Linked DNA regions of Drosophila melanogaster. The protein of the gene in region 1 purifies or fractionates together with the protein of each later gene. This does not show direct contact. Each region holds a gene or a part of one and is shown in the gene's direction. Other genes may lie near its edges. The genes, in order: up, TpnC41C and CG14207.

Region 1 (3,760 bases):
CATACATATCTAATTATCTATGCATACATATCTATCTATCTGCGTATCTGGTGTGTGCATTTTGCATTTCGCAGAGGTGCAGATACAAAAATGTTCTAAATTTAAGATACTTGGTAACCAAAAACGAAATCAAAACAAATGCCGAAACTTTGCGACTATATAGTAATTTTACTATTGGAGAATATTGTAATATATATAATTTTAAAATAATATTCATCGCATGTTTTTAATTTACACAGAAGTCTATTTATTTGAACAACTTGTTTATGCAAGGAATTAAGAGAAGTCTTAAATTAATTTTTCTATAATCATATATAATGTAATGTAATCATAATATAATGTAATGTAATCATATATAATGTAATCATGTATGTATAAAAATTTTTACCCAGATTTTGAGGAACTTTGAGATAGCCCAAATATTTTTTTTTGCAGTATTAATAATTTAAGAAGATACAAGTGCAAGCGAAAAACTAAAAATTTTTTTTTTTTTTTATATTCTTCTAGAATTTATATCTAATTTTATGAAAAATTTGGCAAAAAAAAAAACAACGGAAATCGATGTTGATGAAAGTACATTTTTAAAATATTGTAAGTTTTTGCTTTATTTTAATTTTATTAATACTAGAATACAGAAACAAAATTAAATACAGAACAAAATATGTTTCACTACCCTTACTTAATACAAATATTTCTTATGTGTTATGATGTTTATTAAACGATATGAAAAAATTAATTTTTTTGGCAAAATTTACATATAGGAAAAAGAGATTTTGTCAAATTCTTCAAATTGATTTTGTATGCTTCGAAAAAATAACCCAATAAAGAATGAATTAAATTCGATAGCTTAAAGTGCTGCAAGGCGCGTAAGTGTATCTGAAACTATTTGCCAAAAGTATCTGTTAGAAAGTAAAATAAAAAAAATAGCATAGAAAAAGGAGAGAAATAAAAAAAGAAAATCGGAACAATGACGAATAGATTCAAGTGTTAGACAAATGGCAATGCGATGGGGCCACCTAAGGCCGTTCGACGTCAGCAGTTCGATCGCGATATAGATATAGGTAAATAAATATATATATATATATATATATATATAGGGGGTGATCGGTGATCGCGGCGGACTGGGTTGGAGATTTTGTAGGGCGTGCACTCTGGGGTTCAAATGCTGCAACGATCCGCTGAGGAATCCAAACTATATGTGCTATATATCGGCACGAACATCTGTACGTATATATTATAGAGCAATATATGCAGGCCGACTTTTTAATGGCTGTGAAATTTATGCTCTACGATATTTGATTCCAAAAACAAATGTGTAAAATGCCGCCAACGCACCGAACGTCCGTATGCGCTATATACTTATTGTATGATCTAGTTATGTGCGTGCGCCATTATGGTCTAATGTATAGTATATACTAATATCGTATGCCTCATCTCGCTCTGGCCAAAATGGAAAATTGGAAAACTCGACGGCGGCTGTGTGCGTGTACAAGTTTATGTTTCAGCTGCAGCCCACCTGAAAAATTCACCCAAAACACATCGAACACAGCCAACACAGGCAGGCGCACCCACCACCACCCACTTGTTGCCACATCGGCCAGCGATATGTGGCATATAGCGCTGGCCTGCTCGCACACATGGCCAGCTATTGGCTATATAGAAAGGCGATCGGTGTGTGCGTGGAAATGGCTTTTCCGCGAACGCGACGAAAAATTCTTTAACATAACGTGTAGCAGCGCTTTTCATCGTCAGTTTGGTTAGTCGAACCGCAGCATTCGCTCCTACGACGTCAGCTGCTCGGACTTCAATTCAATTTGTTTTTCTCCCTAAGTAAGTTTTTTTTTTTCTGTTTCTGCTCTACTGCTGCTTCACATCTCCTTCAAATGCTGCATCACCAAAAAAATAAAAAGAAAATATAAAATAAACTTGTGTGCCTAAAAACGAAAAGAAAGTTATCGAAAACGAGAAAACCGAATCCTTTGCGAATAAACCACGAACCACGAACATCAACAAAAGAAAGTTACGAATTGGAAAATCCTAGTGTTATATAACATTTTATTTTTTTTTTTGAAATTTTTTTAAAGTGCAATCTACGAACAAATAGTGCGAATAAATGACTTGAAAGCCACCAAAAAAACGAACTCTGAAGCCAACTTTTTCAAAAAATTTTTTTTTTTTAAACTTTTTTTTTTTATTATGGCTAAAGGCTAAAAATAATTTGAAAAAATTCGCCCAGGCATTGGCGGCGCCAAAAACAATATTCAACGGCAACTACAACAACAGGATTAGCCGCAGCAGCAACAACAACAACAAAATCAAAAGCAACAACAATGCCAGACAGGAATCTATACATATAAATATACATATACATATATGTATATCTTTTTGCTTTCTGAAAGTGTTATATGATCTGAGAGGAAAAGTTCTCAAATTTTTTTCGACGAATTTTAAAAATAAATTCGATTCGTATGTGTGCGCGAGCGAGTGTGTTTTTACCTTGGCAAAATGTCCAAGATACACACACACACACACACAGAGAAACACACACACACAGATACGTAGAGTGAAAACTTTTTTCAATAGCTTTCCGCGCAGGCGCCGATCAGATATGTTAAAGATATAGTAGGCGAAAACGAGACGGAACTATAGCCACCCACACAAGATCGATGGCGAATAGAGATCTGGAGATTTTTGGAGGATATATATAGGACTATAAATGGAAACAGGGCACAGATAGATTGAATTAAAGAAAGGGAAATTTGTAGAGTAAATTCGATAAGGATATAATGACAGGATATAAAAACAGCATATGACAGTTTTATGTTGCTAGGCAGGAAGTAGCTAACACTTACTCAAACTTTGAACTTGAAAAGACAAAAAGTAAGATTCAAAACCATGTTTTTGAAACTAACATGTATGATCAGTAACATTTTTGTATATGTAAGTGTGAAAAGACGATAGACGTATATTTCTGATAGTCTGTCGGATGATATTTAGATCATTACCAGTTTCAATTGAAAAGTTTGTTCAATTTTTCCAGAACTTTTCTCAATACATTTCACATCATTTCCAAGCACTTGCCCCAAAACTGACCCAGTTTATCTAAGGCTAAAAATACAAGCTCAGCAATTGCACTTCCACGCAAAAGTGCAAAGATTATAGAAATAGAATATTCATAATCATAGAAATTTCAAATAGCATATTAAATATATAAATTCGTGGCATAATAACTGGCATAGATATATACAGGCGATCTATGAATGGCATTTGATTTGATTTTCTTTTCATTACACACAAGTACGCCCAAATATATATCAATACATATACATATATAAATTGAAAAGCTTCTTTAGATTTTCCGATTTAGTGCCAAGGTAAAAAAAAAAACGAAAATTTTCAAAAAAGGCTTTGTCCGAAGCTTTTTGATGTTTTCGGAAGCTTTCGGCTCTCGGGAAATTCAATACTGCCCCAAAGTCTATTTTTAATTGAGAAAAAATCGGAGGAAAATGAAAAAACACACATACATAGATTGGACTACGACTCTCTCCTTCGCACACACACAGTTATAGATTGTGGATATAGATAGCATGGGAAATTAAATAATTTTAGAGCAGAGCGTACGGAATTTATCGTTTATTTTTTTCTTCTTGAATTTGAAAGATTATGATGTGAGGACGAGACATTGTTGCCGGCTATAAAAAGACAGGTCGCCCTGCCTACATATACACAGCGGAATCGCATATACATATATATTATATAC
Region 2 (3,760 bases), on another chromosome or scaffold:
TGGTTTACAAATAATCGTAGTTAACACGGATGGGAAAGCTCTGCGACCATGCCGGAAATACTCGCAGACGGCATAATTACAGCTATACTGGTGGCAAGCTAATGCACACGGGGCCGGCTACACGCAGGCGGCACCGTTGCAGGTAACACTGCTGAGAAACTCTACGAAAATGCCCGTAATACTCGGAGACGGCATAATAGTAGTTAACACTGATGGGAAAACTCTGCGGCAATGCCCGGAATACTCGCATGCGACATGATCACAGTTAATACACGGACTCGTTCATTTGTTACTCATATTCCTCCCTTAGCCATAGCTGTCCCTGTCACACTCGAAAATGAATATGATATTATATAATAAAAAAATTTGATTCTTCACAACGGGCTTGTTCCACAGTTTTTGAAATCGAAGGCCATAGGCCAGACTGTCTTATTTTAGTATTCAGAAAAAATATTGCCACCGACTTAGAGTTGGACTTATCAATCCAAGGGAATCAAACGCCTTTTCTATCGTAGAAAGAATTGATCGTCTTGTTCTGTTACGAAGATACGAATTCATATCATAAGTCCAGTTTGAACTTACAATCCGATCTAGATATCTTTCAAATATGGTGCCGTGATAACGTACTAAACTTAAATGGCTCCAAGTGTAAAGTTATGACCTTTTGCCGTATCAACCAATACACACAACTTGCACTTAAAGGGTCGCTCTTTAGACAGAATAAAACGGGTTGATGATCTTGGTGTTTTTCTGGACCTAAACTTAAATTTTAGACCATATTTCGAATATTAAATAAGGCCAGGGGTGTGCTTGGCTTTATAAAAAGGTGGCCAAAGGAATTTTATGATCCTTACACGACCAAAACCTTAGTCCGTCTGATTTTTGAGTAATGGCCACCTGTCTGGAGTCCTCAATACGTCGTTCACTCGGACCGCATTGAATCGGTCCAAAAAAACGTTTTTCTGTTAACTCGGGCAGCGCCCAAGTTATCAGTGTGTCCAAAGGGGGAAGCTGATGAGTTTGGATATAGTTATCGGTATTCCCAAAGGGGGCATACTGAGCTCTTTCGAGTTTAAAACCAGAGTGGTCTTTATTGTGTCGGAGAAGTCTCCTCTAGCTCTTGGTTACTCAAGTTTTTGTCTTATAGATAAGTGCTTTTGGTTTTAAGTGTACATAGGTTCTTAATGTAAATATAATAATTTTTTTAGATTTTGCACCACTTACGGGGAGCATTTTCGAAATGTATTCAAACATAAATTGGCCAGAAGATAAGCAAATAAAGCAATAGATCCGCTATTCAGCTAGTGAGAGCGGGACCGATTTTTGAAACTTTCTGATCAAAAATGTATATACTTTATAGGATCGGAAAATCAACCTTCTGCCTGTTACATATTTAATAACGAATCTTGTAGTCAAGGGTATAAAAAATATATTCCGTTGTTTTATGTTTCATAATATGATTTTTTCATGATTTTTTATATATAATAACTGCGAGGGTGTATAAGCTTAGGAAATGTTATATTTTTATTCTATTCATAATTTTTTTGACCAATTTCTATAAGTATGCCCAAAAAGATTGGCCACGTCCACAATAAATGTAACCGCTACCAGGTTGCAATTGTGAGTAATCTCGTGAAGAGTGTTTTCTAATTTTGTTTTTTGTGTCTCCATTTCCCTTACACTCCCACACGCTGAGTATCAGAAGGGCGAGAAACAAAATTATAGCGTTCGCTCTTGTTTTTGAATTGCAATTTTTGTTCACAAATACCATTTTATAATACGTTCCAAGATCTAATGCAATGTACGGTTTATAAAAATAAAGAATTTTGATGAATATTGTGTATCTAAAAATAAAACTCTGAGTATTTTTCTGTCTTGTGGATAAAATTATCTTTGAGTTACATGACATACGGAATATTTATGTTGTCTTTTTTATTTGGTTTTAATTGTTGTTTTTGTTTCAACAAAAATAGTTGCAGAGCTATCATCGTATTAAGTCTAAAATGTTCCTGAATGTTGAGATGCATCCACAGAAGACACATAGCCCATATGTGTTTTAATCGCGTCAATACCAAGTTTATTTCTCGTCTTCAATTGTTTATTTAGCTTTTAATTAACGGAGTGTTCAATTTTTTAATATTAGAGATTAATCCAAAGAGCTAAAAAAATGAGCGTAAGTTAATCGGCAAAAAAAATAATCCCAGTATAAGTTTCCAAGCTACTTCGAGTTAAAATTTCAAGATTAAAGGAGTCAAAATTATTTCAGATGATCTCAATACTGAACGTTTTTCAGGGTGCAATCAGTTCAAATAAAATAAGTAACGATATAACGTTTTATATAGAGAGTTAATGCTTAACGCCCACGTTCCAGCAATGTTTGCTCGATAACTTTTCAATTAAGTCAGAGAATAAACATATTGTACATTCAACTAATATTTCTTTAAACATCATTAAACAGCTCACACATGTATTTGATTTGCAAATACTACATTTTTACTTTAAGGAATCTTACGTTTTTGGTCCGTCTGTCAGTCAGTCCGTCTGTCCGCATGTACAGGTACATTTACATCTATATACACCCATTCTTGATCACTAGTCGAATCGACCAGGTCATGTCCATCTTCCTGCCTATCTAAGGTATAACAAGAGAGAATGCTATAGTCGAGTTCGCGAACGCGAATTGCATTATTTTTCTGGGATATCGACAGATATTGGGGAGTAAAATGAGAAAAAAATAAAGAAAAGTGTGGGCGTGACCGATTTGGCGGCTTTAGGGCGTTTGAGTGGCGTGGCAAAAAGTTTTTTGGCAAATCTATAGAAATTTACAAGACCTTCTAGCTTTTATAGTTCCTGAGATCTCGACGTTCATACGGACAGACGGACGTGGCCAGATCGACTCGGCTATTGTTCCTGATCAAGAATATATTTACGTTATATAGTCGAAAACTCTTTCTTCTGCCTGTTACATACTTTTCAACAAATCTAGTAAACCCTCTACGAGTAATGGGTATAAATATCGAAATCCGTGGTTAATTTGAAAGTAGCCTTAAAGATTCTTCTGAATCCGTCGTTTCTATTTTCTAGCTTTTATGGATCCCAAAATCGCGTGTATATGATCAGAATAGCTGACCAACTGACGACCAGATTGACTCGGGTAGTGGTCCTGATACTGATTATGCTTATACCTATATTCTTTTTAGGGACGAAAAAGCTTCTTTCTACAAAAATATCAAAGATGGGGTTTATTGAATTTGTTACTTTTCTAAAACAGAGATTCATATTTAGAAAGAAAAGGTAAAGAAAGTGCTCTAGTTAACAAGTTAAGTGGGTCAAGATTAGTGCAGATAAGTGGAGCTAACTTGAGAACATCTTACTAAGAAATAGAAGAAGAGAGAATGCTATAGTGGGGTTCTCCCAGTTTTCTGCGGTATTATGGCGTTAGAGTGGGCGCGGCAAAAAGATTTTTGGAAAATCGATACAAATTTAAAAGACATAAAAGTTTTTTTGCAAATCGATAGAAATTTACAAACAAAAAAATTTAAAAATATCAAAACATTTTTAAAAAGTGTGGGCAATTTTCTGCGATTTGTGGTCGTTAGAGTGATCGTGGCAGCATGAGTCAATGAACTTGCCTTCCGTATATGTCTCTAGAATCTGTAAGCTTAATTTCAGAAAGCTGAAATCGAGACGCTGAATACGGACAGACGGACATGGAAATATCAACTCGGCTTTTGATGCTGATCAAGAATATATATACTTT
Region 3 (3,760 bases), 6.0 Mb from region 1:
ATAATTATTTTGATGGCACAACTGCCGTTGTCCCCGATGGAATTTCGAGCAGTAAAACGGTCACGGATTCAAAATATTGCATTTTAATATGTCGCACTTGCACTTAAAAAAAAAAAACAAAAGAATGTAAGTTATGTGCAGGCAATAACAGCTTTAAAAGATATCAAATTTCCAGCTAATGAGTTTTCTTATGGATGAGAGATGCAATTGTTAAGTTGAAGAAAAATCTAGTTTGTCTAGCTAAATATGCATATGGTTCATAAAACTTATGAATATATATCGCACATTTTTTCTGCAGTTGCAACTTTGCAATCCGGCTCTCATTAATTTCAATTTAAATTTTAATTCCCCTGGCCGACGCTCCCTAAAAGGAATTGAATCGAATCGAATGGACTCGACTTGGCTCGATTCCCGATTCTCGACTCCGACCGCCAATGTCACGCGGCTGAGTCATTTCGCATTTGTTTACAAACAAACCGATGCGGCGGAGTGGGTAGTACCATGGATATGGCCAAGCACACTGGCAGAAAACGACACAGATACTAAGATACTATAATGCCTCTCTGTTAGATTAGGAAACATATCCTATTATAGCTAACAAGCTTACAACAGTACAATTTCCAATCTTAGCTCAGCATAGAGATATTTAAATTTACATATGTATATATGACATATATTTTTCTGCGTGTATTTGGGCCGCCAACGTTCTCCACCCACCCGGTCTAATATTGGGATTTATCGATTCGCACAATGGGCGGAATTGGCTTTTTGATTTAAGGTCTTAATGATGATGAGCTCTGGGTGTAAGTAACCCCGCGAATATGGACAAGATATCGTGGGCCATCACGCCATAGATGTTCTATTTTAGGACGATGGATAATGCCAACCCACCGCAGGACGGAAAATGCACTTTCCACCAATGTGCAACTCTCTCTCTCTCTCTCTCTCTTTCTCTCTATACCGAAGATCATTTCCCAAAACGGTAGGAAGCGTTGATCGGTTAACCGGTTAACTCAACACGACTCATACTCACACTTTCCACTCGCACTCACAGCACACAAATGCTGAACCAGATGCAATTGGAATCACAGTTCGAGGAACTCACTTCCATGACTGAATGGCTCCCACGCGAGAAGTTTTAAGCATACTTATCAAGATCAAGTTGATCATCAACTAATTAATTGTTGCTAATTGAACACTTGTTCCTAGAAAGTTTTTTAGGAGCTTTGAAATGTGTTATGTTATTTCATTGCATTTATGAATTACTAGCTTATTAACGGAAAATAAATCATGGCTTCCTTGTTTTCGGTCATTTTGTATAAACCAAATTTGTCTTACAACTATTGTTTCACTTCTAAATGTGTTCCCCGTGCGTCATTATTTCCATAAAATACAAAATCAATACAGCGAATATAGTGTTTTGGGTGGTCCGCTAACGATTAGTGGTTAAAGTACGCTTAAACAATTCCCTTTGCGGATAGAAGTTCTTTTTGATCCAATGGCAATAGAAACATAATCAAATCCGCAAATCGATGACTAAATGCGGCTTCATCGGTCTATCGATATCGCCACACTGCTGCGCAGCGGCAATCGAAGTACAATCGGTACGAAAGCTATAAAAGCAAAGACACACTGTGAATGCAAAACAGTTCAGAAATTGAAACGCGGCTATCTGTGCGATACGTCCAACCGAAATCACACACTTGAACGTCTTGAGTTTCGAATACATATAGAAAACCCATCGAGTTCCCTTTTTTTTTGGTTGCTCCGTCGATTAGCAAGTGAACAAGCTCGAAAGCGCGTTGAGCAGAACAGAACAGAACAGAGAATAATAGAACGGTATACAGTATATACAGTATATACGGTATACAGTGTACAGCGAAGAGATTGGAGATTCCATCTAGCGAAGCAACCACCAAATAAACCACCACAAACAGCACAACAATGGCCGAGGCTAACAAGAGGAATATCCCCATCAAGCTGGGCGACTTCAGCGTCATCGACACGGAGTTCAGCAACATCCGCGAGCGCTTCGACTCCGAGATGCGCAAAATGGAGGAGGAGATGGCCAAGTTCCGTCACGAGCTGATGAACCGCGAGGCGAACTTCTTCGAGTCCACCAGGTAAGCGTAATAGTGATACAAGTGGGATCCCAACACTGGGATAATTCCACATAGCCTGATTCTACCGGGTGTACTGCGATGGAACCCAATCCCGAATCGCTCGACTCATCGCCTCGTTGTTGGCTCCTCTAAATATAGGCGCACATCTTGCCACATCGCCCACTGGTCTGGAGCTCTTCACCCACAGATTCTCCTACGTATGTACATATGTACATACGTGCATACATACATATGTATGTACTAAACAGTGGGCCTCATAGGAGGCGAGCGGCCCGCTTCAATTCTCGCCCCAGATACACTATGTGTATTTCTTTGCCGTCGCTCTGGGGGAGGATGAGTCACCAGTTCTAAATTCTCCGCCGCTGTCTCCGGCCAAGAAACACATGTGTATCTGCTGCCCGCCACCCGCTAGTAAATCCCCCTCCCCCGCCCCGGCACATGGCTAGCCAGCGTCTTGTGCCCTCCCCTTTCGCTCGATCTCGAGTCCCATACGGTTTATGCAACCGTTATGTAGGGCATAACGGAATTTTTCGAACTTTGAGAATCACCTGTGCCAAGATATTCCGTTATATGTGTGTGTGTGTGTGGGTTTCTAGCTGAGCAGAAAAATGTAATTGTTGATAATGAGATAAGATATTAAAATCTGGTCTCTGCGAGCAAAATTAAATATTTGAAAACGCAAAGCATTGAAACGATCGGTGGCACACATGAATAATGTTCATTAAATCTCTAACTATTTCCATTTGTAGTTACTTGTTTTTAAAGCATACATAAGTGACAAACGCGTTTACCTAGCAATCTATTTCCATTTGCAAGTCAATTAAGTGATTCGGCGGTATTTTAACACCCTCGCATATTCATACGAATCAGAGAGAGGGAGAGAGAGAAATTCCAGTTGAATGTTACGAGTGGCATTTTCAATGAACATAGGTTTATTGCCCAAATCAGCGATTAATAAACAAACAATGCCCCAAAGGCGAATGGCAAATACTATGTCGCCGACGCCGTCGCGGTTGCGCGTCTCGTTAGCCTTTCCATTGGAGTTGCGTTGCGTGGGCGCCAGTTTTGGTTGCTATTGGGACGACCTCGCCGTATGACGCAATCGAACCGATGGACTCTATTTGTTGTTGCCTTCGCCATGGTCGCCACTGCATTTGCATGGCCACAACAGAAATGTTACGACTCCACCCCCCTCCCCCCCACCAGACTTCCGTCTGTTTCAGAACTTGGTAGCGCTCCTCTCCACAACTTTGCCCATTCAACGTCAAAGTTGGCAGTGAAAGGAAATTAACCCAAATTGGTATTGTGCCCTCCTGGCTGCAAATTTAATTGGAAATGAAGGGAAACTCACAGTGGCGGCATAAGTTGTGCGCCAGGGCTTGCTTCGGGCGATTAGCCTAATAATCGCCACAGATTGGCCACGTAGTTTAGTAGCTTAGTAGTAGTATTGGATATATACTTGCCAAATAATTCAATCATTCGCCCATAACTGCCCACTGTCCGCAACCTTTGACCTAAGCGGCTTGGCTGTGGCTGTGGCGTGTTGTCAATTGAAGCGCTGCGTGATATCTGAATGACTCAGCACGGAATAAACGCACGCCCCATATACAGGGCAATAAATCCATACAGGTAGGTGT

The links.
Region 2: the proteins of up (region 1) and TpnC41C purify together in Drosophila melanogaster (affinity purification with mass spectrometry, with the first as the bait; one large-scale study listed by BioGRID). This does not show direct contact.
Region 3: the proteins of up (region 1) and CG14207 purify together in Drosophila melanogaster (affinity purification with mass spectrometry, with the first as the bait; one large-scale study listed by BioGRID). This does not show direct contact.

Annotation. Positions count from the first base shown.
Region 1 is NC_004354.4:13,600,488-13,604,247, reverse strand, and holds the start of up (upheld), read left to right. Parts: upstream 1-1,669; 5' UTR 1,670-1,830; intron 1,831-1,882; exon of another isoform or gene 1,883-2,019; intron 2,020-2,593; exon of another isoform or gene 2,594-2,880; intron 2,881-3,760. UniProt on the Drosophila melanogaster protein: Troponin T is the tropomyosin-binding subunit of troponin, the thin filament regulatory complex which confers calcium-sensitivity to striated muscle actomyosin ATPase activity.
Region 2 is NT_033778.4:5,068,395-5,072,154, reverse strand, and holds the start of TpnC41C (troponin C at 41C), read left to right. Parts: upstream 1-1,944; 5' UTR 1,945-2,167; coding exon 2,168-2,173; intron 2,174-3,760.
Region 3 is NC_004354.4:19,603,560-19,607,319, forward strand, and holds the start of CG14207 (uncharacterized protein), read left to right. Parts: upstream 1-1,639; 5' UTR 1,640-1,944; coding exon 1,945-2,123; intron 2,124-3,760.